2 linked regions of the Rhinolophus ferrumequinum genome follow. The protein of the gene in region 1 interacts with the protein of each later gene in a biochemical or structural test. Links are inferred from orthologs where the notes say so. Each region holds a gene or a part of one and is shown on either strand. Other genes may lie near its edges.

What was found.
Region 2: the proteins of TNNI1 (region 1) and TNNC1 are reported together in a solved structure, tested with the Homo sapiens proteins (2 studies listed by BioGRID, with this or other methods). The link is inferred for Rhinolophus ferrumequinum from reciprocal best matches to the Homo sapiens genes TNNI1 and TNNC1.

What each region holds. Positions count from the first base shown.
Region 1 is NC_046310.1:927,731-942,293, reverse strand, and holds the start of TNNI1 (troponin I, slow skeletal muscle), read right to left. Parts: upstream 8,258-14,563; 5' UTR 8,171-8,257; intron 5,643-8,170; 5' UTR 5,626-5,642; coding exon 5,615-5,625; intron 5,045-5,614; coding exon 5,041-5,044; intron 4,409-5,040; coding exon 4,367-4,408; intron 3,896-4,366; coding exon 3,764-3,895; intron 3,086-3,763; coding exon 2,996-3,085; intron 2,136-2,995; coding exon 1,959-2,135; intron 1,221-1,958; coding exon 1,113-1,220; 3' UTR 1,111-1,112; intron 277-1,110; 3' UTR 1-276. UniProt on the Homo sapiens protein: Troponin I is the inhibitory subunit of troponin, the thin filament regulatory complex which confers calcium-sensitivity to striated muscle actomyosin ATPase activity.
Region 2 is NC_046300.1:48,067,773-48,082,335, forward strand, and holds TNNC1 (troponin C, slow skeletal and cardiac muscles), read right to left. Parts: upstream 9,524-14,563; 5' UTR 9,425-9,523; coding exon 9,401-9,424; intron 7,892-9,400; coding exon 7,861-7,891; intron 7,647-7,860; coding exon 7,500-7,646; intron 7,236-7,499; coding exon 7,121-7,235; intron 6,901-7,120; coding exon 6,764-6,900; intron 6,680-6,763; coding exon 6,648-6,679; 3' UTR 6,471-6,647; downstream 1-6,470. Other genes in the region: SEMA3G (semaphorin-3G), read right to left, coding at 451-559; NISCH (nischarin), read left to right, coding at 11,027-11,122, 13,288-13,371, 14,081-14,263. UniProt on the Homo sapiens protein: Troponin is the central regulatory protein of striated muscle contraction. Tn consists of three components: Tn-I which is the inhibitor of actomyosin ATPase, Tn-T which contains the binding site for tropomyosin and Tn-C.

The sequences.
Region 1 (14,563 bases):
CACGATGCCTGTGACACTCTATATGTCATAGCCGCCAAGGAAGGATGTGGCAGGGGGCTGGGGGTAGGTGCTACATCCGTGGCACAGCACCAGTATGTGTGGGGGGTGCCCACCTTGCTGGGGGGAGGTCTTCAGAACCATGTCTCTCTTGTGTCTGTTGATTCTGGAGGAGGGCACTCAGGCTGGAAGGAGAGGTAGGGCAGGATGGGTTGGGGGGTGCAGAGAGATGCAGAGGAAGGAGCATGCAGGGGGTCCAGGGACAGTGCTGCAAGTGGCCTGTGGGGACAAAGAGGTGGCAGCCATCAGTCCCAGTGGCCCCGACTGACCCCAAGCACAGGCAGCCCCGGGCTGTACCACCTCCCACGATGCTTCTCGGCCCAGGGCCCCAAGCTCCCTCCTGACCGAGCCCAGGCACTGCTCCTTCACAGGGGGCTCTGCCCAGCCTGGCCTTACAGCCCCCTTCCTTCCTGCTTAATTCGCGCCTCTGCTTCTGAGGTGTCACCCCGCGTGACACCTGACACCACCGATCACTTCTCTGGTGAACGCCTGCTCTGACAGGGCTGTGGCAGAGCCCTGTCCTCTTACATGTCCCCTTCACACCCCCAGAGGGTCTCATGGGGCCTAATTTTGCTGCTCTGTCCAGTTTCCTCAGCGATTTCCTCAGAGATCAGGAAGTCTTCTCTGAACGGACCCCCACGGGGCAGGGACTGGGGTGCTGGGTGCTTTGCAGAACTGGCTGAGGAAGTTAAAAGAGCCTAGACTTTCAGGTCAGCGCTGGAGTGTCCTCAGGGGTCATCTAACCCAGTGGGCCTCAAACTCCTGCCTCAGAACCCGGAGGGCCGGCCCTGGGATTCCATCCAGTGGGCCCCGGGTGGGGCCGGTGATTGGCAGCTCCGGTGGCACCCGTGCCGCTGGCCCCAGGACCACACTTGGAGAACCCCTGACCTGATGTAACCCCCAATTACAGATGAGGGGACCCTCTGTAAACGAGGGGCCCAAGGTCGCATGGTGCTGAACCCGTGAGAGCAGACCCCTGCACCCCACGGCAGCCCGCCAGCCCTGTCCTGGGGTCCCTCTCCTCCGAGGGGACAGGGGCTGATTTCCAGGTACCTTTACTGGGAGGTGGGAGACTTGGCGGCATCAAACATCTTCTTCCGGCCTTCCATCCCAGACATGGCCTCCACGTTCTTCCTCCAGTCGCCGACCTCCACGGGCCGCTCCTACGGGCAGGCCACCCGTGCGTCAGATACTTACCGGGCCCTCGCTACGCTGAGGCTCCACAGGCAGAAGGCAGCTGCGTGGGTCTGGAGCTCAGGGGGCCCGTGGGGCTTACGGGGCCCGTCCCCACCCCGAGGAACCGCAGCCCAGCTTCGCCTCCAGGCCCCCACGCCACCCTCCCGGTCTGACCCTCAGCAGCTCAAGGCCACCTCTTCCAAGAAGCCTTCCTCCTGCTCCTTGGGCTCATTTCCTGTTTGCTCAGCACACTGCCTGGTCCGCCTCTTCTCCGTACAAAGCGTCTTGGGACAGAGACCATATCTGTCCTCCATTTCTCCCCACCAGGCCTCTTACATTCTGGGCACGGACGCTGCGAGCTCAACCCCCCAGGAATGGTTTGTTGCTGAGTAAGAGCCTGAACTCGGGTCCCTAACGTCTGCTCCGGCGTGCTGGGACTGTGGTGACCTGCTGAGTTTCCCTCAGTGACGGAGCACAGTGCCTCCCAGCCCCCCTAAACCCCCACCCTCTTCATGGGGTGCTTTGTTCTCGCTGTGGATTTCTTTGTGTCCCAGTCTCCTCCTCAGACTGGGAGCAGCCTGAGGGAATGATGAGCGCGATCAGACTCCATCGCTGGTCTCCCGCGGCTTCTAGAATGTTCTGACAGGAGCTCCAGGGCCTGCTCACGGCTGTCAGGGGTGACGGGGGAGGCTGGCGGGTGACAGGTGCTGGGGACCGGCCCTCACCTTCTCCGTGTCCTCCTTCTTCACAGACTTCAGGTTGGCTCTCAGGTCCATGGACACCTTGTGCTTGGAGCCCAGCAGCGCGCGCAGCATGGCATCGGCGGACACACGCACGCGACGCAGCGCCGGGCGCTTGAACTTCCCACGGAGGTCCAGCACCTTCAGTTTCAGGTCCTTAATCTGCAGCGGACGGTCGGGGCGGGGCTCACTGGGGGGCCGACCAGGGCTGAGCCCCACTGCTCCAGCCTGCAGGCCAGGCGACCAGACACGCAGACCCACCCACGACTTTGCAAGTAGCCACCACCTGACTGTTGATAAGCAAACGGCCGGTAAGTGGACAGATGAAGCCAGCTGGCCTCCCTGTGGCATGGCCATGAACCGCTGGGGCCAGCCCGCCCCACAGAAACCCTGCTTCCTGTCGTTCCCCAGCCTCCTGACTCGTCCCTCCCCACAGAACCTCCAGGGCAGCCCATTGAGGCACAGCCTTGGTCCCATGAGATAGATACAGGCCAGGTCCTGACCCCTGGGGGACTTCTAAGGTGTGCTCTCTGGGGAGGTCAGTGAGCCCACAGATCACCAGGAGAGAAATGGGAAGGAGGGGAGTGGCTCTGGCCCCTCCCTACGCCTTCCCCCAGGACAAGTGCCCAGTAGCAGCAGACGCCCTGCCTTTCCGTGGAGCAGGGTCTGGATGGAACCGAGGGAGCCTGCATCCTGGAGTGGGGGTCTCCCCAGACCCGGGCCTCTCTGAACCTCAGTGTCTCCTCTGGGAGGTGCAGACGATAGCATCTACTTCACCCACAGGTGTGTAGGGAGGATCAAAGGCACACGGAAGTTGTCTGCAAAGGTTAGACGTCCTTTGCAGGCAAGTGAGTCTTGTAGAGTGAGAAACCCGTGGGCCAGCAGGGAGGAAGTGTGGGCCTTTGTCTGTGTGGCTGTCCTCTCTCTGCCGTCTGCAGCCCTATGGGGCCAGAGTGTCCTGCTACGTGGCCACCTCCCAGGCCCTGCAGAAGGAGGTGCCCCCAAGCCCCTCCTTGGCTCACCTCCCTGGTGTTGTGTACACATTTGGCCTCAATGTCGTATCTCTCCTCGTCCACCATCTCCACCTTGGCGTGCAGGTCCCGGCACAGGTCCTGGGGCACAGCAATGGAGCGGAGGGGGCCCTGGGTGTCCAGCCTCCCTCTCTGCCTCCAGGCCGGGTCCCTGGGCCCTCTCCACTTGGCGGAACCTGTAGTCTAGACAGAAGCTGAGGAGCCCCTCCCTACACCTGAGGTCCCTGACTGCTGACAGCTCTGGGCGTCGAAGCCCCGTGTCTTCCTTTCTGAGTGTCTCGTTTTCTTTAAAAAGTCATCTTGTGGTAAAAATAAGCTAATTATAGAAATTTTGAAAACTGCGTCTTAAACAAAAATAATCAAATAAAAATGACCAGTGATGCCACCGGGGGAGATAACCCTCGGTGACATTTTAATGTGTTTCCTTCCACTCTCTCGTCTGCAGACACTGGCATTTGAACAGTTAGCAGTGTTTTAAAAACATTCAAGACGCCTCTGCGGGGAAGGACGGCAAGTCTTTGCAGACCTGGGGCATCCCGAGTCCTGCCCCTCTCTGCTGCCTCCCTGTCCACGTGCCAGGAGGGCTCAGCCCCACCAAGTTCACTTCGCTTCCTGTGTCTGTAAATGGGACCTAACCTCACAGGGATTGTGAAGGTTAAACGAAGGGCTGCTAGTAACTTCCAGAGCTGGGAGCCCGTTAGTTCAGCTCCTGCCACCTGGTCCCCGGCGTCACCCCCAGCCCCAGCCTGAAGGGCTCACCTGCAGGGCGCTGAGGGACAGGCCCCGTGTCTGCAGCGTGGGGATGCGCTCAGCCAGGTAGCGGGCTTTCTCGGCCTCGCGCTCTTCCTGCTCCTGCTCCCAGCACTCCTTGGCTTTGGCCAGCATCAGGCTCTGCAGGACAGGGCAGGACAGGGAAGGTCAGCCTCCCGGCCGGAGGGGAGGCGGACACCAGCTGCGCCAGCCCGGCCTCGGCCGGCTCTGTGGGCTCCGGGCTCACACGCTCGTCAGGGCCCAGACCAGGCAGCCCTGGGAGCGTGTGAGCAGGAGGTCGCTAAGTGTGCAAGTGTGTGTGCTGGCTACAGGCAGGCCGCTCGTGGGCCCTGGAACGTGCTCATCCTCCCAGGCTCCTCTTTCCCACTTCTGTCTGTCTGGGCTCACAAAGCTCCAAAGAGAGAAACTCTTAGCAAAATGGCAAGTCCCTCTGCCCCAGCCCTGGACCCCTGGCTCCAGGGGACAGCCAGGCACCCCCTGCCTCCTTCCCCTCCCCTCCCAGGATCCTCACAGCTGCTCTGTCTGCACTGCTTCCCCTCTGGTCCCTCCCACCCCCATGCAGTGTGCCCCAGAGCCAGCACCCGGCCTCACCTTCAGCAGGAGTTTGCGGGAGGCAGTGATCTTGGATTTTCTCTGAAGATGAGTAGGGGAGAGACAGGGTGAGGCGGAGGCTGCAGAGCAGGAGCCCTGGGCCGGGCCCCAATGCGTGCCACCAGTCACCATCGTCATCCAGAACCCTCGCCTAGGGCCCCTCAGAAGCTCATCCTTGTGACTTGGGCAGAATTCTCCCACTCAGAGAATGCTGCAGTCAGTTGCCATCAGTTAGGGGCTGTGGCTGGAAACCTGCCAGGCTCGGTGTGGGTCACATGACCTCTATGGGCAGCACCCTCCCGTCTGCAGACAAGAAACCCTAGGCCCCCACCCCGGCTTCGTTCACAGAGTCGTTGCAGCAAAACGAGATCAGGAGTGTGCAAACCCCCTGAAAAGCATGAGAGACGTGCATGTTTGGGCACTCTGGGTGTTAACCTCCTGAACATAGGTGGGCGGGACGAGCTCCCAGAGTGGGTGACGGGAACTCGCTCGGTGCTCGGGGAGGGTGCAGTCACAGCCAGCTCTGCTGCCGTCCCAGCCCCCCTCCTTCCAGTGACCTTGAGCACGGGGCAGCCCTCCATCCCTGAGCCAAGCTCTCTCTGGTTTCCCCCAATGCCCACCCCACCCTCACCAGTCTGAAGACTTAGCCAGGACAGAGCTCCCTCAAAGCTCACCTCGCTTCAGGCATCCGTCACAGGAAGGGTTGGGGGAGAGAGAACATAAGACAGAGTATGAACGATGCATATAATACATGCAGCCACAGAACCATGGGGACAAGCTGGGGAGGCCAGGTGTCGGGTGGGCCAATTCCAGGGTCCCAGCAGAACAGAGTGAAAGCCCGGCCCTTTGGGCTGCAGGAGATGCTCCCCATTGTAAGTGGGGGGCGGGGGTCAGAGAAGCCTCGCCAGGGGTTCTGCAGCGAGAAGCTTCCATCCCTGGGCTTGTGGGGGATGGTTCCTCCATGGGGCCAGCATTACATCACGGCCTGGCACACGTGATTCATCGGACCCGTGCAGATGGACAAAGTCTACAACAGGCCAGGGTGGTCTTCCCCAGGTGACCTGGGAGTGTGAGTTCTGCTCAGACGCCGGGAGGACGCGTGGGGACGCTGGGGACGCAGGCACTCGGAGCTGTTCCTATTCTCGGGTCTGGCCTTTCGGGGAAAGGCTTCGGAGGTTGGACAGATGGAGCCTGAACTCTGGGTCTGAATGTGCTGTGAGGGGACCTGCGTGGGGCGGGGCCACTTACACTTCCGGCATGGCGGTGGGCGCAGCACCTGGGGGCACAGGAGAATCATTCATGAGGACAGTTACAGCCCCACCCCCACCCTGTGTGTTCTTCAGGCAACAGGAAGAAGAAACCAGACAGCATGGGTCCCCTGGGTCAGGGTGGGATAAACACTTGTGCATCTTTCCAGGGGCTGCCGTTCACGCTCCGCGCAGTGTAACTGTGCCCAGGGCTGGTCTCCGGGGAGCCACATGGCTGGGAGTCTGGGCTGAGGTCGTGAGGACGCCCCACGTGGAGTGGGTGAGCAGGGAGGCAAGGCCGAGTGTGTTCTACCCTGATCCTCAGCCTGCCCCTCCAGGCCCGTTTCCTCTGCAAAATTAGGGCTTAGAGAAGTTTGCCACGTAACATTTAGCTCTTTAAAGCTTTGCCCAGACTGAGTGTCACCTGGAAGCAAAAGACAATCCTCCAGAGCAGACGGCACTGGTTACAGGGTTACCACAGGAGCCCTCTCCTCTGGGAGGACCCTTTAGTCCTGGCTGTTGGGGACCCCAGCCCAGGAGGGGGTCTTTGAGGCTGCAGTGGGGCCAGACTTGACTGGCCATCCTGCCTGGGCCTGGACACAGGGGGGGGGGGGCGTGGGGTGGTGTGCAGGGCAGGACAGGAGTCCGCCGCTGGGTCATGAGGGCCGGGTGGGGACCAGTGTGCATGGGGTCGGGGCACCAGGTCAGCCGTCCGGATTTGGTCCGAGAACCTGGTTGGGAGCAGGCAGTGGTTCTAGCAACTTCACTCCAGAGCCACCTCCTGACCAGGTGACCTCCTGCCTCTGCCTTAACGCTCACCTCTCCCTTTGTGCCCAAGAAGCACCGCCCCGCCAGGAGCAGGGCTGGCTTCCCTCCTGAATCTCCCACCAGAGACCCTCTGGGCCCTGCCTCTGCCTCTGCCACCAGGGAGAGTGCAGCCTGGAGAAGAGGGGGGTGGCCTGGAGTCTCAGCTGTCACCCTGGGCACAGAGGGAGAAGTGGGCGTCCATCCATCTATACATTCTCAGCATGCTTGGCTGAAATTAGATTTATCGCCAGCTGTTTATTCTGAGGGCTCTGCTCCTCCAGAGATACTGAGAAAATCAAAAAAGAAACACTAGCTGGGGAAGAACCACCCGGGGACGTCCATCCATCATCACTGCCCTCCCAAGGGTCCCGGGTCTCAGCCCTGTGGGCCTCCTGGCTCTTTCCCCAGGATGTGCCTCATCTTTGGTGGGCATGTAGCCATACTCAGGCCTGCCTCAGAAACCCCATCACCAGTGTGGGGCCCACCTGCCCAGGCCAGTCCAGGCCTCCTGCCAAGCTCCAGGGCCTGCCCCACTGACAAATGCCAGGCCAAGGGGTCCCCAGCCTGTGCTGTGATACCCACCAGACAGGACCCCTTGACAGGTCCTGTGGAAGACAGCAGGGACCTGATAAGAAGTCAGGATGTAGATAGCAGCAAATGGGCTGCTGGAGACCGGCATTCCATCTCCCCCAAAAGGGGCCAGCAAGGAGATAACCACAGACCCACAGCCGGGAGAGGAGGCCGGGGTTTGACTCAGAGCTGGGCTTGTCCTTCTTTGAGGCCCCGTGGGGCGGGCGGTGTATCAACTGAACCAACAGGACAGAGGCCGCGTATATAAGTGTGAGTGTGATTGTGTGTGTGTGTGTGTGTTCTCTGCACACTGCTCATTGGGGACACACATTTCAAGTGAGGCTCGTGTGCCTCCCGCTGCTCCCCACCCTGACCTTGGGTCCAGTTCCAGGGCACCCTGGTCCTCCCTGGCTGACCACACACCACACACCCATCTTGAGCTCTGACCAGGAAAGCCTAATCTCAAACCTGCTGGCAGGCACTGCCTGAGCCCCCCCCCCCGCCCCCCCAGCCACGGAGCCCAGCACAGAAGCTGCCCGCACTCGTGTGCAGACTCGCATGCCCCAACCCAGATGCTGTCGCCATCTGCCTGCTGCTTCTCAGAGCCAGGAGTGGTGGGAGGAGGGGGGCCTTCGCCCTCACCTGCTGTTGTCCTGCTGTCCAGATGGACGGCAAAGCGAGACAAGCCCGTCCCTCAGAGACAAAGAAAAAGAAGCAAGAGATGTCTGCGGTCAGCGGGGCTTGGGGTTCAGTCTTCCAGGCCCCCGAGTCCTGCTTGCCAGAGGACCTTCTCTCTGTCTGATGCAGGCATTGCTCCCTTTTGCTGCCCACCAGGCTCTTCCTAAATTTCCACACGCAGCCCCGCCCTGCCCTTTGATCCCCCATGCCGTCTCCTCCCCCAGGTGGTCTCTTCCTCTTGGGACTTGCTGGGCTGCCAGTGTGAAGACAGAGCCCAGCAGGCTCTGCCCTGGGCCCTTGGAGCAACTTGTGCAAAGTTCGGGGCAGGAGACGCGGCACCCAATGGGACATAACACCGTGGACTCTACGGCCAACAAATCCAATTGTACAGGCAAGAAATGCCTTCTCCCACCTCCAAGCCCTCGTGCTCTCCTGGAACCCCAGCCTAGCACCTCGGTCTGGGCTTGACCTGGATCTGAAGTTCGGAGCTGCAGACACCTACCTGGTTTGGTGTCCGTGAGCTGGGCGGGCGGTGTCCAGCAGGCGACTGCAGACTCTGGGGCCCGCGCTGACGGGAGGCTATGAAAACTATGGCCAATGGGAACTGCCAGTAAAAATAGCACAGAGCCGCTGCCCCTCCCACTGCACAGCTCCCAGGGCAGGCACCGCAGCACACGGAATGGGCCCACGGGCTTGATGACGTGTGCACAAGGCTCAGGAGGACACGCAAATCCTGTGCACAGAGAGGCCAGCACCTGAGTCAAGTCAGGGAGACAGAGAGGGGAGAGGATGGGAAGTAAGACGCAAGGGGGCCAGAGCAGTGACGGCACTGGGCCGAGGGGCGAGGGGCGGGGAACGTCTCCACGACCCTCCGTCTCTTACAGGGAGACATGGACATCAGGCCGCGAGCCCACGCCCCGATCTTTGGGGGGGACCCGTGTGGCTCTGGTGCCCGTGTGCCCGGGGGTGACGTAACTGTGCTGCAGAGAGGGTCCTTTGCTGAGCCCACGCCACAGCAACAGCTCCTGGAAGCCTGAGGGCCTGCAGGGGCTCTGCACCCCTCTCCAGCTGGGGTTCCAGGCATCAAGGCTTCCCAGGTTCCGAATGGCACCCCTCGTCCCAGGCTTGGATGTCAGTGAACTTAACTCCCCTCTCCCGCCCTCCCTTTGTCTCCAGCCGCGTGCTAGAGAACCCAGGGGGCTGGTGCCCTCGGGGCTGCACCTGTTTACGGGGTATTTTTAGGATGGTGGGTGAACACATAATACCCACCTATAGTCAGAGCAGGACAAGGCCGACTATGCTAATCCCGTGGCTATTATCGTCGGCCACCTCGTGGGCCAGGAGCGCCGGCTGGGCCAGGACAAGCAGGATGCTGACCCGCTGGAGGCCAGCGAGAGGCCTGGCAAGCCACGCCATGCCACCGTGTGCCCTGTGTGGTGGGGGAGAGAGCTGGCAACGGGTGTTCTAAGGCGACAGCCCCACCGTGCCCAGGGAGGGGCCAAGGCCCTGCCCCCTGGACACTGCAGCTCGGGTCAGGTCAACCTGGGGAGACGCCACTCTGGAAGGCTGCCAGGGAGAAGGGACAAGGTCTGGGAAGTCATGGTGGTGGCCGGGGACGCAGGCTTCCAGGTGGAGGGGCGGGGATGGAAAGTAAGGGCCGCCAGCAGCCGAGGCGCATCTGGGGTCAGAGAAGGAATTCAGGGGCTGGGGCGGAGTCCACGGGGGTTTGTGGCATTGCTTATGTTTTTAATTTACGCAAGAACTTTCTTACAATACCTTCATATGCACAAAAGAATGAATTGTGAGCAAGGTTATACTGCTTTTGGAAAAGGAAAAGCAGAGAGGAGACTGACACAGAGAAGAGCAAAATGTGGTCCAGACGTGAATACATCCAGAGGACGCGTCTGCAGAAACCACAGGGACTCACGGACTCTGAGGCTCATGTGTGTGTGTGGGGGAATCCTCCTCAAGTTCTGCAGGGGCGGAGTGGGGCCAGGCCCCTGCCCCAGGTCCCACAGTCCCCTCCCAGGATAGGGAAGAATGTGTCCGGCTGGAAGAGCTAATCCTTAGAAGGCCATAGCTGTGGAGTCAGGCCTGTCCCCTCAGTGGCCGGCACCTGTCAGCCCCGCTGCCAGGCATTGTCTGAGAAACAAGGAGCCCAAATTAGCCAGTGACCAGGCGCAGGGGCATCTGTCTTCCCGGCTCCCCTCCCCCCACGGCCGGGGCCCTGGCCTTGGTGACAGCCAGCACAGCCCCTCTCTGCCTTGCACAACCCCATCTGAAGCCGCCCCCCACAGTTGCTAGGCTGGGGGCTGGGGAGCTAGAGCAGAAGGAACAAAGAAAAGACCCAAAAAGTCGTCACCCCTCAATCTCTGCCACAAAGGGCCTCACTAGGAAGGCCAGTGGCACTGGAGACACAGCACAGGGTGCGTCGCACAAGCTCTGCCACCCACCAGGGACACTGGCTCTGAGCCTCCGTTTGTCCCTGTGAAATGGGGTAGCAGTCAGTCCCCCTCAGCAGGCTGCTGTGAGCTGAGACGGGGTTGTCTGCACGAGGCAATCGCCTGACAAACGTGAGCCACGCAGGCACCGTCCTCAGCCCCCTTCACCGAAGAGGAAGTGGGGCTCAGAACGTGAAGCAACTCACTCAAGGTCCCCAGGAGACAGGTGTGTCTCCACAGGTGTGTCTGCTGCCCAGAGCACGTGCCCCGTCAGCAGGGCCCGGTTATGGCTTCCGTGCTCTTCTCTGCGGCCAGCTCGCTGTGGACACAGGACTACACCCAGGTGGTAACCACTGGAACAGAGGCAGGGGACCAAAAGGGGCACAGTGCCTGACACATAGTAGGTGCTCAATAAATGCTCATTGAATAGCTGAATGGACAACACAGAGAGGAGCCTTCTGACCAAAGACTCTACAGGAAATTGCCTCTCAGGGCTCAGGAGGACGTCTTGCTTGCTCCCTGGGGGTCCTGAAATAAGGTTGGGGAGCTCATGGCTGAGGGTATAGGGGCAAGGTGCTCAGAAGGCCCAGGCACCAGCTGCCCCCTCCCCGAGGGAGGTGTTGTCACAGCCACAAGCTGACGTTATCGGTGATGAACAACTGTCCCCTCCAACAATGTTCTCAGACTGAAACAGAAACAACAGCTGGGCAGCTGGACCTTTGTTGATGTTAAACTTAGCCCCTCAGGTCACCCTGAGCTATGACCACCCCCTCCACCAGTGTCCAGGCCAGAGCCTGGAATGTCAGGGGACAGGCACCAACACAGACAAAGGGCCCTGGCCCTGCTCGCTTTCTCCTCCCCCGCCATGCCTCTCTGACCAAACCCCAGACCTCAGCAGCCCTCGTTCTCCGCTCACCTCACACTCCTGCCCCACGCCATAGCTCTTCTGCAGGAGTCTGGGGAGGAACGGCTCAGGAGGGGCCTTCTTCATCAGAGGTTCCAATGAAGTCCCTTCAGGACCCCCGCCAGCATGAGATAACCTCTGCCCAACTCCAAACCCCCTTCCCAGGATAGGGCTTCCATGGGCCCCTGCCCTTTCCACAGGGGGGGAGGGGGTGGGGAAGCTGCCACTTGCCTCTCAGGGCAAGAAAGAGAAGGCCTCTCCTTGTGTTCCTCCCACACCACAGCACAGACTCCCAGGCAGACATGGGTCACAACCTCTGCCCAACTCTTCTCTCCTTGTCACAGGCTGTAGGAGAATACAACCCAAAACCCTCCCCTTTGATCACCCGCTGTTGGTCCAGTGGGGAAAGGGTACCATTGACACAGGACTACACTGAGGGGGTAACCACTGGAACAGTCCGGGGACCAAAAGGGGCTCAGAAGGCTGGGGTGAAATGAATTCACCCTCCAGCCAGAGCGGGAGATGGGATGGCGTCTGGCCTAGCAGGACAGACCTGTCTCTTCTCAAACTGCGCCAGCAGTCACCGTTGCCCCCCCATGCACCCTCCGGAGAAAAGCCAGTTTATGGACGGGTGCCCCGAGGAAGCAAAGGGCTCATCCTATTCTAGTAAATATGGTCGCTGTGCACAGAGCTCCCTGCCATCTACCAAAGTGTGAAGCATAGCACTTCCAGCTGCTTTTCCGTTTTTACATGAAAGAATGACTGACTGAAAAACTATAGGTAGTTGGACTTGAATATTAGTAGATATTTTTTCAAAAATGAACAAAGTGGGCCTGGTTTCTCAAGGGAAACAACCGAGCATATTTGTGGCCACTTATAAAATTCCAGCTTTCAAGAGAAAATGGAAATCTTAGAGTATCCGTATCTGCCATGTGAGCGCGACAGCCTCCCAGACCTGCAGGCTCTTCCCATACGATGGGCGGTGATATTAAAGACTGATTTTTCACAAACCACTGTATGACGGATGGAATGTGTTAACATTGGGAAGATCTGCATGGCTCGGAGCGCTGATACTCTCCAAACGACCAACGCAGTGTTCCTGGAATCACGCAGAGCAAAGAACCCACCCGAGGTGGGGCCAGTTGGCTCAGTGGTTAGAGTGCAGTGCTCATGACACCCAGGTCACCGGTTCGATTCCCACATGGGCCACTGAGCTGAGCCCTCCACAACTAGATTGAAAACAACGACTTGATGTGAAGCTGATGGGTCCTGGAAAAACACACTGTTCCCCAATATTCCCCAATAAAAATTTAAAAAGAAAAATGAAGTCTGATTTTTCATTCTGTCAATGACAGCGAGTAACAGGAACCAGTCGAGAAACCCCTCATCTGCCAGCTACCGAGTGTGGGATTGGCCACCATAGCGAGCTCTGCGGATTGTGTGGTGTCGTGAGTTAATCAAATGTCCCTAAAATGACAAGTTAGGGAAATTTTCCTAAGGAACTACTGTGGTTTTCATTTCGGTCCTTCTCTGTGTGCGTCTTCGAGTGAGAACACTCGGCATCCATAGGCCTCTTCCCAGGAGCTGGAGGTGAAGTTCTGCTCCTGTCCACCAGAGGGCGCACGCGCGCGCGCGTGTGTGTGTGTGTGTGTGTGTGTGTGTGTGTGTGTGTGTGTGTGTCAGAGACAAAATGTGAATGTGACTTATTTGTGATCTACCGACTACAAGGTGTGATCAAACAATACAGCAAATGTTTAAATAAAAACACCTCTCTTCTGGTATGGCAATTTCTGTCCAACAAAAAAATTACGGTGTGCCCTCATCCAATTTATTCACGAGATCTGTGACTTCTGGCTCTTCCCCAAAGTCAAAATGATTCAGGACATCGAGGCAGCCACGACAGCGCAACTAGACACTCTCGAAAGAGGACTTCCAGAACTGCTTCAGAAAGTGGTAAGAACATGGGATAAGGGTGTTTGAAGCGAGGGGGGGGTCTTCTGAGGGGGATTAATGGCAATGTGTCCTTTACTGGAATAAGGTTTTTTTAATTTAAACATTCATCATATTGTCTGATCACATTTCATACCTCTTGGAAAATAGGAATATGATAGGAACAATAAAACATTCAGTAGAAGGCTAATAAAGTTGAAGAAATTTTCCAGAAAGTACCAAAAAAAAAAAAAAAAAAGATGGGAACTAGATCAGGAAGGATAAGAAAAATTAAAGGATCACCCAGCAGGTGCAATACAGTCCTAGCTGGAGGTTCACAGAACTTAGAAAGAGGTAGTTATCAAAGAAATTAAACCCACACCTTCCAGAACCGAGACGACAGTCCTCACCAAGTACCAGCTCCATTACAGCAAAAACTTAAGGCACAGGGACCAAGGAGCTGTTTAAAACCTCCAGACAGAAAAGGGGCCCCATACAAATCTGTAGCTGGATGGGAAGCTAGTTAATAACAATGTATCAGTATGCATTCATCAAGTGTAACAAAGTCATTACTTCAGCGCCTGACTATTTTAGTAATAGGGGAAACTGCATGTGGGGATGTGAAGACGGCAGTTAGGGAAACTACTTTCTGTGAGATCTCTCTGTAAACCTAAAACTGCTCTTTCTACATATATATGGTCTATTTTTTTAATGGGAAAAAAATGCCTTCAAAATTCTAACGGAAAATAATTTCCAGCCTGACCGCCTGCGTTGTGCGTTCTCGGCCCCATGAGCTTTCTCTCTCACTCCACGCAGGGACCCTGGGAACAGGATGGGAGTGGTAAGCTGGGGTCGGAGTGTCACCACAGGAGATGCCATCAGGCTGCTCTGTCAGTAGCTAAGCTGGGCACCAAGATGGGTGGTGCAGACCGGCCACCAGGGGGCGCCCACACCCACCGCCCCAACGTCCACAGGGAGTCAGGGCCCTGCCAGCCCAGTGGTCCAGGAAGAGGTGACAGGAACAATGGGGTAATTGATGCAAATGTGCCGTGAAAGACAAATTGTTCAAAGGAAGCACTCCAGCTCCTGCCAAACGCCCAGGGTGTGTGGAATTCCAAGGAGAAGCTGAGTAGATTTGGGCTGTGGCCAGGGACCCTATGTGTCCTTCTCCAGAATGCCTAAGGCTTGGCCTGGACCCCCAGAGGGCAGTGGGAGTGGATGGAAGACGTGGGCACTGTGGGGACAGCTCTGCTAAAGATCACACTAGGGGGACACACACTCCCATTCCTCAGATGGCCCTGGGCGTCCTGAGCCAACTCAGCCTCAATGAACTTCTCACACCCATCTCCTACCCTGCTCCCAGAGCTGGAGTGAGCCCTAGCTTACTCCCTGGGTGGCCTCGGGTGAGGCTGCCACCTCTTTGAACCTTGGTTTTCTCATCTGTAAAATGGGAGTAACCACCCCTTCCGTTTATGCCTCCCAGGAGGTGTGAGGAGCAAATGAGAAAGATCTGGAGCGCTCAGCATCTCTGTTCCTTTCTGCTCAGAGGAGGCCACCCCTGGATAGCCAATCCCACCTCCTCTAGTCTCCAGAAACCCCTACCTCGCTCCCAGTGCCCCTA
Region 2 (14,563 bases), on another chromosome or scaffold:
CCCTGCTCCCCCGCTGCCTTCCCTGGGTCAGGAGCCCCGGCTGAGGGCAGAACCTCCAGACGTGCCCGTCTGCCCATCCCCATCGCTCTCTGCTCATCTGTACCGAGGTCTCTCAGGGTCTCCCTCTGTCTCTCTCCTTTTCTCAGCAGCCCCCTCAGGTTTTCGTCCTGCGTGCCTCTGTCTCTCCTACCTCCATCCTGGCCATGCCTCCCAGGCAGGACCTGTCTCTCTCCCCCCGCGTCTTCCGCAGCGCCTGCCGCTGGTGGCAGTCAGAGCACCAACCCAGGGCATGACTGTGAAGTCTTTCCCACGGGCTATGCAGGGAGTGACAGCATCCCTCCAGCTGGCAGAACAGATTGCCGGGGGCTGGCCGGGGCCCCACTGCTGGGTGTGCTGCAGGGTCTGGGGCTCCCAGGGACATGCACAGGAACAGGGCACACCCACCCGTACCTCGGTAGGAGAGCCGCAGGCGGGGCACGCTGGGGCCAGGACTGGGGCTGCCCCCGCAAAGCAGGAGGCCCCCCAGGAGGCAGCAGATGGACCAGGCCGAGGGGACCATGCTGGGGGATCAAGGGCACAAGGCTGCCCGAGAAGCCAACCTCTAGTTCTGCTGCTGGTTGTAGTTTGTTCTGTCGCCGCCAGGCCTGCCACTTATAAGGCAGTGGCTCCACCCCGTCCAGGGCCAGGAAGGCGGAGGAGGAGGGAGGGGCAAGGGCCCTTGCCATCCACCTGCAGTTGCTCCCTCTTTCCCGACTGGCCCGGTTGATGCCTCTGTGTCAGATTGGCTGGTGTCACAGTTCACTGTTGGGAAGCCTCATTCCCAACTGGGTGTGGGTAGCTGACACAAAAATGTCCACAAACCCAAGTCCCCAGGCTCTAGTAAAATGTCAAGGGGGGAGATACCCCGGAAGGGAGGTCGAAGTCAGAGATCAGAGGTTGATGGGCTGGGTGCGGGTCTGGCTGGGCTCTCCTTTGCTCCCTGACCCTGTAACGCCCATGACATAGACCCCCACAAACCGACTCTAGGTCTAGGTCCCTGATACCTGGAGGGTTCAGCCCCCTGAAGCCTTGGCCTGGCTCCTCAGCTCCCCTGGCAGGGCCCAAGTTACGTGGGGCGGGGTCATTCCAGCCCAAGGGGCTCCATGTTTTGGGTGCAGGCTTAAGGGCTGCCATACTTCACAGAACTGGGATTGGCAAGAAATGAATGTCTGGCTTCCAGGCCCCTTCCCAGCTGACTGGGCAGAGGAGCCTCCCATTACCCTGCGTCTCTCAGCCATCAAGTTTTTCCAGAGACCCAGGGCCACGAGTGTCACTCAGTGAGTGGTGGGTTCTTCCCAGAGTCTACCTCTGCCCTGTAGGCCCTATATCTATGATACCTCCAAAGTGGGGGCACTCACACCCCCACTCACTCTGCCTTGAGGTTGGATACGGGGGGCAAGAAAGCCACAGAAGAGGGACAAGGAGAAGAGACTGAGGGGCTGAACTGAGTCAAGTGAGGAGACTTCCCCATGTCCCATCCCACCGCAGCCCCTGTCCCCACCCCACCCCCCACAGCTGCCACTCCACCCCACCCCAGATCCTTATACATAGAATCTGAGGCCCTAGCAGCTGAGAAGATTTCAACTTTGAGCCAGAATTGGAGCGCCCAGGATTCTAGAAACTCCTGAAAGTTAGGCCTCCCAGATGGGCCAGACTGAGCCCTCAGATGGTGGTCAGGAAACTTGGGGGCATCAGAGAGGGAAAGACCAAGCCCAGGCCATACAACAGGCTAAGAACAGACCCTATCAACCCTGCCCCTTCTGGGATTCTCTTTTGCTTCTGGGGTTGCTGGGGGGAACCCAGCAACCCTCCCCATCTCAACCCTGGAAGGGAAACAGGTCAGCCCCTTGAGTCAGTGTGAGAAGGACCCAGGGATCTTGAACCCTGTCTCCTTGTCCCCACCTCCCCCTGACATGTATATATACATACATATGTCTCCTCAGGGGGAGAGGGGTGGCTGACCTGGGATTGTGTAAGGGGCTGCTCAGGGAGGCCAATGACTACCCACCTCTGACTCCACTGGAGAACTTTGGCCAAGACCCTTCCCTCTCTGAGTCTCCGTCTCCTGCTTTCAGGGCCAGGAACCATTTACCTTGGGTGTAACAGGCAGTATAAACTGGTGAGGAGTGCTTGTGCAGGAGCTGCCATGATGGTGATTATATCCTGGTCCCTTGGAGGGGTAGAGCCCCTCGGCCTCTGTCTCCATGGAGAGATGTTTCAGGAGGTACCCCAGGCTGGGGGCCAATATCTGCCTGGAGATTGAGCCAGACAGCATGTGGCCACCAGCTGTGGGCAGCAGGCCAAACAACTCTTCAGCCTGCCAGCTCACCCTGGGGGTCTCAACTCAGCCAGGCCCCCAGCTGAGGCTGCAGGGGAGGCCTGGATCTACTGGGGCAGAATGTGGGGGACAGTCCACTTCATACTGCAGGAAAACAGCCTGGGGTAGGGGCTGGGAGCCCAAACTCTAAGGTTAACTAGTTGTGTGGCCTCAGGCAGGTCCTCTCCTTCTCTGAGTCTCAGTTTCCCCATCTGGGAAGAAGGTAAGGATCTTCTGTAAAGACACGTTTGCAAACTGCAGATGGAAAATAGACCCAAAGGTGCTCCTGATTTCTCAGGTCAATTGGCCAAGCCACGTGCCTCTTGGGCCATCTAATGGACAAAGTGGGAACTGCAGGAGATCCCAAAGCTGCCCACTATGTCAGGCCCTGTTGGAGCAGCAGGGCCACCCAGGAGAAACTGCAGCCTCTTGGGGCAGCAAGCCATAAACAGTCAACCATAATATGAAGAGGCAGGGGCAGTGAGAGACGGTCCAGTGATTGCTCCTGATGGAGGAAATCAAGAGAGGCTTCATGGAGGAAGCACTATCCAGGCAAAGGATAACAGCCCAAAAGAAATGAAGAGGACCGACCGCAACCAAACAGTCAGAACTAGGTGACGTATGTAGAGGAGTGCAGTGCCGTGTGCTGGCGGGAGCTGGAGGCCATTAGCTGCATATCCATGTGTGATGTGTGTGTTCATGCGTCAGGTGCCACCAGGTGGGTATGTGGAGGATCACAGCCTGGCCTCTCCCAGCTAGAATCCTGGGGTGGGCATGCTTAGAAGGAAGTCCCTCTCCCACCAACCTCATTCTGGAACAGAGAGATTGAGACAATCCCACAGGGCTCTCTCCCTCTGAACCTCTTCTTTAAGGCACTAGCCAGCCACCCCACCCCTCTGTGCAGCTGGCCCAGCCATCCTCCTGTTTCATTCACAGAGGGCTTAACTCTTGGGGTTTCTCTCTTCTCCTGTCCCAAGCCCAGCAGGAGCCCACATGCCTGCGGTGCCCCGTGGCCTCTCAGGTCCTGGTCCTTGCCTTCCCCCAGCTCAGCCACCCATCCTCCGTCTCCACCAATAAGGATGTGACCTGCTGTATCAGCATTCAGCACATCCCTTCCTCTGGACACACGACCTGCACTCGGTATCCCCACTGCCACAGTTCTTCCCTCGTTGCCTTGAGCCCCCTTACTCCTCTCCCAGCTTGCATCCAGGCTCAGCGCTATAACCATACCCTTAAAACACTGCCCAGAGGCCTGTAGCCACTTACCTTCTGCAGCTCCGCCCTGCGTCTTACGCCACTCCTTTTCCAGGTTCACTGGATTGTTCCCATCAGCAATCAGGCCATTCCCTGATTCCCCTCCTGAAATGAGCTCACATCCCCCCTTGGCTTCAGTCCGTTTCCCTCTGTTCCCTGAGCATTTGTAAAACTTCACCAGTGTTGTCCACACTCTCCATTTCCCCTTTATCTCACTTACTCCTCTGGCCCTGTCCAGCCGGGCTCCCATCCGACTGCGACGATGAAACCCTCGTGTCCAGGTGGCCGAGGCCTCGGAGGACTCCAAGTTCCTTATCCCCAGAAACATCAGCTGTCTTCCCTGCCTCCTTTCTTCCCTCCTGGCTCTTAGGGCCCCTCACGTTCCCAGGGTCTCTCCCACCTCATTGATCACATCTCTTCCCCCAGACTGCCTATGAGGGATGCCCAGTGTCCAGTCCGGGGCCACCTCTCTCTACACAATCTCTCTCTGGTGACTCATCCAGGATCAGGCCTGGGGAAGCACTTATTCTGATGACACCTGAGTTTATAGCTCTCCTTCTCCCCTCTCACTTAGATCTAGCCTTGCTTTGACATCCCCTCCGTCCTATCCAGAGGCATTTCAACTTTGACATGGACCAAGAACTCTCCATCTCTCATATGATCACCCTGCCAGAAATGCGTAACCTGAATCTAATCTGGAGGAAACCCCAGACAAACCCAAACTGCATGAGATTCTCTACAAAATAACTGGCTTGTACTTTTCAAAAGTGTCAGAGTCACAAAAGATGAGGAAAGACAGAAACTGACAAAGATTGGAGGAGAGTAAATGGATAGGATGACAAGATGCAGTGTGTGACCCCGGGTTGGATTCTGGTCCGGGAAGAGTACATTCGTAGGGTAACTGACAAATTTGAGGGAAGTCAGCAGATGAGTTAGTAGTGGCCTGGGCTTAATCATTGTCCTATGGCTATTTAAGACATTAATATTTGGGCAATCTGGGTAAAGTGTTAATGGGAGTTCTTTGTACTATTTTTGCAAGCCTAGAATTTCAAAATGAAAAGTTAAAAGCTGAAGAAAAAAAACTCTAAAAGAGAAAAGAAACCTCTACTTCCCGATACCCCACGGCCAAGAACCTGTGCCTCCCCCAGGCTTCCATAGCTCAGGAAATCGCAGCTTCATCCTTGATGTGAAAGGTCATCTTTGACTCCCTACTTTCTCACACCTCACATTCAAGCCTTCTAGTTCCAAACATGCCCTGAATCCCTTCACCTCCCTCCACCCTTCTTGCCCCACTGTGCTGAGAACCACAAAGCCATCTCACCCCAAGGTTGCCGAGGCTCAGCTCCCGGCCCAACTCTGCCTTTCTGCTCCTGCAATGCTCCAGTCTCTTTCCCCATGACCTCACATGGCTGGTTCCCTGTGGTTTACTTCAAGCCTCAGCTCAGTGCCACCTCTTCCAGGAAGCCTTCCTGGACCACTCTATCTCATGGCCACCACACCTCTACAATCCTCATTCCGGCACCGTGCTGGTTTCCCATTTCCCTCTTTGTCTTCCTGAGTTGACTATAAATTCCATTAAATTAGGGACTGGGCCTCTCTCTGAAGGGTCCCAGCATCCAGCCTGTGCCAGGCACATGTTAGGTGTGACTAAACCATGGAATGGTACACTGGCTGGTGGTGTTGCCCACAGTGGCCCTGCCTCCTCTCCTGAGATGTCATTTTTCTTGGGTGCACTCGTAAGTCCTTGAGTTCTCCAGCTCCCGAGGTCAGGTCCCCTTGGGAGGACCCCTTCTCTTCTCCCCCCAGGTCTCTCTAGGGACCAGGAAGCTCCTGCTGGCACTGGCCTCCACTGGAGGCATCTCCAGAATTCCAAGACTGTCTCCGGAATGCTGGGCCTGTCTGGGGAATGCTAAGGCTGGGGCACAGGTGGGGAGGCTGTGGAGTGGCTGGGTGGAGCGAGGACAGCTGCTGACATTCTGACAGGAGCCCAGGCACATGGCAGCTGTCCCTCCTGCAAGCACCACTGCTCACACCTCTACTTCCTTGCAGCACCTGCCTCCCCCCAGACCAGTGTCACTGTTGTGGCTATAGTTCTGGCCTGGGCACCCCCACTAACCTGAGAGCCACCAGGCCTCGGGCCTCCATGTCCTGTCAGGGAAGGAAAGTAGGTTGCTGGAGCCTCTGAGGTTCACAGGAACTAGAAATTACGCCCATATGGACCTGGTCCATCAGATAGAGCCCTCGCTGGGAGCTAAGCAGCTCTGCTCTCCCCTGACTCGCTGGAGGACCTTGACAGGTCTCTGTGCCTCTCTGGGACCCAGGCTCCTCACCTGTCAAATGGGTGAAGGAGCTACAGTAGGCGATAGGCCCTTTGGTCCCTGGGAATCAATGTTGCCAGTGGGAAATCCAAGTTGAGTGGCAGATGGACTAGAGCTGCAGGCCCACTAGGCCCCACAGTGCCCTGCTCAAGATGGTGCCCTCCAACAAGTGCCCTGCAGCAAGACAGAGCTGGGGCTGCTGTGCCAAGTGGCATCTAGGGCCTAGCTGGGTGCTGCAGCTATTTCTCCAAGTACAGGACCCCCTGGCTGCCAACTGGCTGACCAAAGTCATGCCTCCAGGATCCTGTTAAATGCAGATTCCTGGGCCACCAGAGACTCCAAGTGATGAATCACTATAGATAGGAAGGGGGCAGGCAGGATATGGAGCGTGGGAGTCGCTGATCTAGCCTAAACCTTCCCGCAGAAGGTGGTGTGCAGGGGAGGTTAGAGCCCAGGCTCTGGCATGGGGAAAGTCATCAGGGCTGGAGTAACCCTGATGAAGAGAGTCCACAGCCCCTGGAATGAAAGCCAGACACCAGGCCTCCAGAGAGCATGGCTTTATTTGCATTCCTAGAACAGGACTGGGGAGGGAGTCAGGGATGGCCTGCGGTCAAGGACACGCCCAGGCTCACATCCTGGGGACACCGGCCCCTTGCCCCACCCCAGGGCCCAGCTGGAGTTGGAAGGTGGCACAGGCAGCTCTGGGAGAGGGTCGGCCTCTACTCCACCCCTTTCATGAACTCCAGGAACTCTGTGGAGAGAGTAACAGGCATGGGTCAGAGGTGGGGGCTGGCACGGTGTGGGCAGTGGGAAACCCGGTACATCACGCCCTCACCGTCATAGTCGATCCGGCCGTCATTGTTCTTGTCACCATCCTTCATGAGCTCCTCAATGTCGTCCTCCGTGATGGTCTCACCTGTAGCCTGAAGCATTGTCTTCAGCTCCTCCAGGTCAATGTAGCCGTCAGCATTTCTGCAGTGAGTCCGGGGCAGGGGCGGGTCTCAGAGCCATGGACTGGGGAGGGGAAGAGGCAGCCCCACCCATGACCCAGGGAAGCAGGGCCACTGAGAGATGGAGCATCCCACTCTCCCATTACACAGAAAGGGAGACTGAGGCCTGGAGGTCACAAGACTGTTCCACTTTCCCGAGCTCTGCTAGAGCTGGAGTCAGAGGTCAATGGTCACATGCTCACTTGTCAAACATGCGAAAGAGGTCAGACAGCTCCTCCTCAGACTTTCCTTTGCTGTCATCCTTCATGCACCGAACCATCATGACCAGGAATTCATCAAAGTCCACTGTGCCGCTGCCTGGAGGGTAGGTGACACGGCCATTAAAGAGGGATGGTCAGAATGACTGGTATCGCCCTTGAACCTAGACTCCGTTTTTCTCACTGCATCCACACACCAACCCCATGAAGCAAGGTGGTCATTATGCCCACTTTATATATTAGATGACTGAGGCTCAGAGAGGCTAAACTGTTCCTTCAAGAGCACAGGATAATAAGTGGCAGACGCAGGATTCAGGTCCCCAGTGACCCGGGGGTCTGGGGCCTGTAGGGCAGAGGAGCTCACCATCCTCGTCCACCTCGTCAATCATCTCCTGCAGCTCCTCAGGTGTGGGGTTCTGGCCCAGCATCCTCATCACCTTGCCCAGCTCCTTGGTGCTGATGCAGCCATCCTCAGCGCCCAGCACGAAGATGTCAAAGGCTGCCTTGAACTCTGTGTCCGATGGTCGGGGGGTGGAAAACAGAGTGGCCAGGGCTCAGCAGCCAGGACCCCAAAAGGCAAGACCCCTCAGGCCAATCTGCCCACTTCCCTCTGAGCCTTTGAGGTCACAACGAGAGGGACCCCAGCCTCTCTTCTCCAGCCTGGGGTCCTCCTGTTCCCACAGCCCGGCCCTGCTGTTTCCTTACATGTGTGTTGGAGTACTCACCATTTTTCTGCTCTTCTGTCAGCTGCTCTACCTAGAGAGGAAAAGAGGTCTCAGGACTCAGGCTCCAGGCTTTAGCTGCTGTTGAGGAAACCAACCCATTCCACAGGTGGGAAGACTGAAGCCAGGAAGAGGCGTGCCATTTCCAAGTCACATAATGGAGGCCTCAGTCCTCCCTTCTTGCCCCCAAAACCCTGAGGTGACCCAGCCGGCCTCACTGAGATTGGGTTCAGGGCCAGGGTGACAGGTGGGCAACCCTCCGTTGACTAGGTGACCCTGAATAACAATAGTTAGTGACCACTCAGTGCCCAATTGGACCCCTGCTGAAACCCAAGCTGGGTGGCCCGAGGGACAGCTGTCCCTCAGGTTGGGACAATAAACCCAGTGTGGGGGTAGGTAAAGCCACCCACTGTAATTTGACCGGCATGGCCACTGGGCTATTTTTAACGGGCGACAAAGTTAAACCTGGTGATTGTTCTGGGGACTGTGGCATGCAGGGGGTGGGGCAGTGTTATCTGGCCCCCTGGCCTGCTGGTGCCTCAGGAGCCAAAATTAGCCCCCAGCCCCGCCAGGCCTTGTATGGGCACAGGCGGAGGGCTGCTCCCCCCAGCTCCAAGGACTACTGCAGGATAGGAAGGGGTGCCCCCAGAGCCAGCTATAGCCCTTCCCTGCCTAGGAGTGGGACCACAATCCCAGGGCTAAGGGAGGGGTTCCCTTGGGGACAGCTGTCTGTACCAGATGTCCTTGTCTCTGGCGCAGGGAGAGGTCAGCAAACCAGCCCCCCGCCGATACAATGGCATCTGAAGCCCCTCAGTGAGCCCAGAAGGCTGCAGGGACTTGAGGTAACCACTCTCCAGCCCTCACCCCTGGCTAAGCCGTTGAGCCCAGAGCCTGCCGGGCCAGATGGGGGCTTGGGCCCCAGTTCTCTGTTCCTTCTTCCCAGTCTCCCCCGTGGCCAGTCCTTCCCTGCCTGCTTCAGACATGAAAGTCTCTTCCCTAGCTTAGGATTCTGACTCTGCAGCCCGCTCTTTACAACTCCTGTCACCCCCTTCCTCCACAGCATCTTCAGCCAGCTAAGGGGCTGGAGGGGGCGGGGGGGATTGTGAGTGTGTGGGAAGCAGAATATGAGGGGCAGAAATGTGGGTGAGGACAGGGAGACAGCGGCTGAGACTCAGACAGCTTAGAACAAAGATGAGAAGAAGCTGAGAAAAGCAAAGCTCCAGAGACCAAAGACACAAACGCAGAGATGTGGCTGAGAGACCACAGATGTGGATACAGACTGGACACTTGGAGACAGGGACAGACATGACCCTACAAGGTGTGACCTCCTCCTCTACCCACTCTGACAGATCCTCTCCAGTCCCTGAATCCCTTCAACACCCAGAACACCAGACCCACCATCCCCTTGAGGCCCTGGGCTGAAAGTATGTGGGTCCTCTCCTGGGCCCCCACCACATCCCTGGAGTGACCTTGCCCTCCCCCCCCCACCCCGCACTCTGAGATGAGTGAGCCCCCAGTGGGTCCACCCAGCCCAGTCCCTCACCGCTGCCTTGTAGATGTCGTCCATGCCGGCGACTCACAGGGCAGGCTGCTGGGGTTGCCAGGCAGTCCGCCCTGGGCTTAAATAGCCCTGCCCCAGCTGCATTCCGGCCCAGCCCCCCCCCCCAGTGTGGAGCATCCTCCACCCCCTCCCCCGGTCCTGGTGATCTCAGACTGGCCTGAGTCCCTGTGTCCTCTGCCCAGGAAAAGGAGATGAAGGCCTGTTAAGGACCAAGTCTCTTTCCCTTTGTTCCCCCATGGCCTCTAGGGGACTCCTTGGAAAGTTTTCTTGAATGAATGAAAACATGAGCCCAGGACAGGACAGGAGCTGCAAAGTAGTGGGGCCCAGGCCAGGCCCCTACACAGCAGCTCAACCTCCCATCCAAGCAGGGGGGTGGGTGACATTACTCCCACTTTCCAATAAGGAAACTGAGGATCCTGGAGGGGTGGTGATGTGGCCAAGGTCTGGCTGATTTGGTAGCCCCTGTCTTACACTCTGCAGTGGAGGGCAGCTGTATGCAAGGAGAGGCTTGGGAGTATAGGGCCCTGCCAAGGGAAGCCTGGAGTGGGAAGCTCTGAGCACAGTGCTATGAACTGGTAGATAAGGAAGTCACTGACCCACCTTAGGACTGAGTGGTCTGGAGCCCTTCAGCCAAGGGTGCCAGAGGAGCCATAACCCGGACCTCTCATCTCCACATAGTACTGTTCTGGGTTTGGTTAGCTGCACTCAGTCAGCCAACAAACACACCTATAGATACCCTGTCTGTGCCAGACTCTCCCTCTCCTTCCCCTCCACAGCTGGGCTATTACCTCCCTCTTTTAGGTCCAGGTCTGCCCCCGGGTTAGGGCTCTATCTCTGTGCCTGTGCTTCCCATTCCAGCACTGTAGTTCCTGGGTCCAGGGCTAGTCTGTCACCCCCTTTCAAGCTCCGGTAGGTCACCACATGTCTTGTGCCCAACGGCCAGCACATAACCCTTCCTTCCACCGTCACACCCCCACCATGCAGAGCCCCGTCTTGATAACCACACCAGCTCCCTGCCTTTGAACCGGACACTGCATGCATTAACCCACTCAATTCTCCAGCAGCCCATGTAACAGAGATTTCCGAGTGTTGGAGAGGGTAAGAACTGGTCCAGAATTCTCTGTCCCTGTTTAGGCTCTACGCACAGCTCGTATCTTCTTCAACCGTTTCTAGCCTAGAACGAGTCTAAGAGCTAGCGCGATTACTGCCTCCCTTTTTCGGAGAGGAAAACTGAAGCCAGGCGGAGCAGTGACTTGCTTCGGGTAGCCGAGGACGCGTGGAGCTTTCTGTCCTCCCTCCCGGGCACGGAAGGGTAATGCCTAGAGCTACCTGCACGGGGCCTCAGTTTCCCCCGGTTGCTAGTAGCGTGACCGGCGGCACCACCCTGATACAGATTACGCAAGCGGACAGGCCTGCGCACGCGCGCCGTGAGTGGCTGCTGTCAATTATGCGCGAGGGGCGGGGCGAAAACGAGAGGAGGCGGTGGGGCCAAGATGGCGGCACGGGGCGCGGCGAAGGCGGGGGCCGGTGGGAGCCGGGGGATGGTGGGACGCTGACCCCGCCCCCTGCTGCTGCCAGTCTGCGCCGGGAGGCGGTGAAACCCGGAACATGGCGACTGTAGCGCGCAGCTTTGGGCCGGAGCGGGAGGCCGAACCGGCCAAGGAGGCGCGCGTCGTGGGCTCTGAGCTTGTGGACACGTATACGGTGTGCTGGGGCCGTGGGTGCCCGAACCGGGGGTGGCGGCTGGAACCCCGAGTCCGAGTCGGGGGATTGGGGAGGAGGTCTGGGTTCCGTGACCGGGGAGGGATGAGTAGCGGGCCAGCGATTTCGAGGAGGGGGCCGGGGATAGGGGTTTCTGGGGAATGGATCTGGGCCCCGTAGGTCCAGGAAGAGGGCCCTAGGGTAGAGCCCAGGGAGGTTTTTGGGGAAAGAGTACCTGTTCAGGAAAGGAGGCTAGTCGGGGGGAGGATCTGGGGAGGATCAGGGGATAAAGGGGGTCTGGGGAGGAGAGGACGTCTAGACGAGATGGAGGGTCCTCTAGATCCTCTAGGCCTGGAAGGGTGCCAGCCTGGGAGGATAGGCGAGGGGGTCCGGGAGGAGGGGGATTAAAGAGAGGATCGCTGATGGATGGAATCGGGGGAAGGGTCAGGGCCCTGTTCGCCGCGAAAGAGGAGAGGGGGCCGGGCCTTGATCTGGGGAACCTAGGGTCGCTGTTGAGATTTGCTCCAGGTCGGGCCCAGCGGCCTGGGGTTCAGGCCGAGACTAGAAAGAGGTAAGGGTGGAGCCCACACATGGGGGCATTGAGGGTTTCGCTCAGGGCTGAAAGTGCAAGACCCAGGAACCTTAGGTGTTTTCATGGCTTTGGGGGCGAGTTGGGGCAGCAAGCCCCTCCCACACAGTCACACAAACACACCCGTCCAGGCTATGGGAGAAATGGAGGATATGAAAGAGGAGGGTTTAGGGCAGTGATGGAACCCTCCTGGGTCTGGATGGGGTTGGACGCCAGGCCTATGGATCTGGTAGGCTGCCTGGCAGGGTCTGGTCCTGAGGTGGGGGCGTACTGAACACCTCCCAGCTCCTATTCTTTGTTCCCAGAGGGTGGGGGTCTTTGGCCCTGCCTTCGCCCCACCCCCTTGGCCCTCATCCTAACCCTCCTCCTGAGGGTCGTTCCTCTGGCTCTTTCTCCTTTCTTGGACACGAGGAGGAGGGAAGCTGCCTTGCTGGGAAGAGGGGCTGGGGGCGGATCCTGGAGCAACAGGCCAGCCCTGGAGAAATGGCTGCTTCTCTCTGTGGAGGCTTCAGCTGAGTTGATTAATTTCTTCTCCCCCTTCCCTGCTTGCTGCAGTGTGGGGCAGGACACTAGGTGAGGGTTGAGGTCTCTAAGCTGGTGGCTGGCTGGAAATCACCCATGGGCAGCATTCAGCTGGAGGGTCAGCTCCAAAAGTTGTCTTTACTGGCCAGGGCTGAGCCACTCCTGAATGGGTGTGGGGGATGTGATGATCCAGGCCAACCTACCATTTGGCTCCGGGTGTGCTGAACTGAATATTATTAACACACCTACTTTTTATTGAACACTTGCTGCATGGCAGGCCCTGTACAAAGCATTTTACATGCATTACCTTATTTGATTCTTAAACCTAGCAGATTTTAAGATGGAAGAACTGAGGCTCAGAGAAAACGTAGGCTTCCCAGTCACTTATATAAGTGACTCGTCCATAAGCACAGCCAGGCAATGGCAGTCAGGTGTTGACCTGAGGTCTTCCTTGATCCCATTCCCCTGACGGCTAAGTCATTTTGCCTTCTGTTAGGGCTTGATAGTCCATCACCATCCTCCCGTCCCACCCATCCATCAGCTTCTTGGTGCCTTGACTACTGGCTCAGCAGCAGAAATCGCAGCTGTGATCCAGCTGAAAGGGTTAGACTAGGGCTTGCTTCCAGGATATGGGCAGGGCACCTAGGAAAACATACAACAGAGAAGCTAGCCCTGCCAGACCCGGCCCTGTTCTGCCTCCCTTGGAAGAGATGGCCTTGCGTGCAGCTCAGGTTGGATTGGGCATTGAATTACCTGGAGACTGGAGGTAAAAATCTAAAGAGATGGTTTGATATGATAGTCACCTTTTCCGTTCCTCTCTGTTGGCTAGAGCCACAAACATCCTGTGTTCCTGCCAGATACAGTGTTAGTGCCGTTGAGGAGGCTAAGAGGGGGCCCTGCTGTGCAACAAGAGTCAGGTGCAAAGGCTGGTGGGGAAGGGCAGCCTACCTTTGTCCTGTGGCTTGAGAGGGTCTGGGTATCCTGCAGCTATTGCTGGGGGCGGGGTGGGGCTCTCCTTGTTACTCACTCGGCAAGGGCTGCCTGTTTTCCCTCGTAGGTTTACATCATCCAGGTCACTGATGGCAATCATGAATGGACAGTCAAGCACCGCTACAGTGACTTCCATGACCTGCATGAAAAGGTAACCCTTGAGAGCTGGGGGACCTGAGTCTCAGGGTTTGGGGCTTTCCGGCCAAGTTCTCCTGGTGCCGTGTATTAGTGTTAGGGCAAAACAGGCTCCATGCCTACGGTGTTCTTTAATAATGTAAAGTTTATTAATGTAACTGGCAAAAAACACTGGTGGGTTCTGGGATTTCAACCCTAGCATGAGACGGTGTGCAAGGAGCATATTTGAACTTCAGTTTTAAGATTGCCAATCCTAGCTTGGATGTGAGATGCTGGGACAGTTTCCCAGTGAGGGAACAGGTTTGAACTTGTTTGACCTGACTACAGCTATTCCACAGCCTGTACTTTAAACTGGCTATGATTCCATTTCTTTCTTTTGGAGAGAGATACCTTTGTCTGGGTCATTTGCAGCCTGAGTGTTTTAAAGACAGACTACTCCCCTGATTGGTTTTTGTCCTGGTTTGGAAAAGATAGTGATTTTATGGGCCGTTTTGAATGTCTCCATCTAGAGTCTCCAGGTGGAGCTCCCCGTCTGGAATTGTATTGGTATTTCTGATACTAACTGAACTTAATGCAGCCAAGCCCAGAGGCACTGGTTTGATCACTGATCCTGGTAGTGCTGCCACAGGGGCTGGGGAAGTCATGACAGGCTGCTTGCTAGTCTTGGTCCTGCACAGTCACAGGACCTCTTGGTCTGTGCTTGACATGCTTATGTTTTTTTACAGCTTGTTGCACAGAAGAAGATTGATAAAAATCTGCTTCCGCCCAAAAAGATAATTGGGAAAAACTCAAGAAGCTTGGTGGAAAAGAGGGAGAAGGATTTGGAGGTCTACCTCCAGACACTCTTGGCTACCTTCCCTGGCGTGGCCCCCAGAGTGCTGGCCCATTTCTTGCATTTTCAGTTCTATGTAAGTTCCTCTCAGGTTTCCTCTTTTGCCTATAAACCCACAACCACCCAAGCTCAAGGAAGCAAACCAGTGTAGATCTCAGCTTTGAGGGGAGGTGGGCTGGAGTTTGATCTAGAGGTAAGAAGACAGAGGAACATCACCCTAGCAGGGAAGGGATGTGGGCAGAAGCATGTTCATTGACAGGTCTGCCTTACACTAGATAGAATATGGCCATACAGAGGTTTTCCTCCACTACAGGGCATTTTGGTTAGCAAAAACCATCTGGGTGTTTAAGCTAGGTTTCCATCCAAATGGATGGAG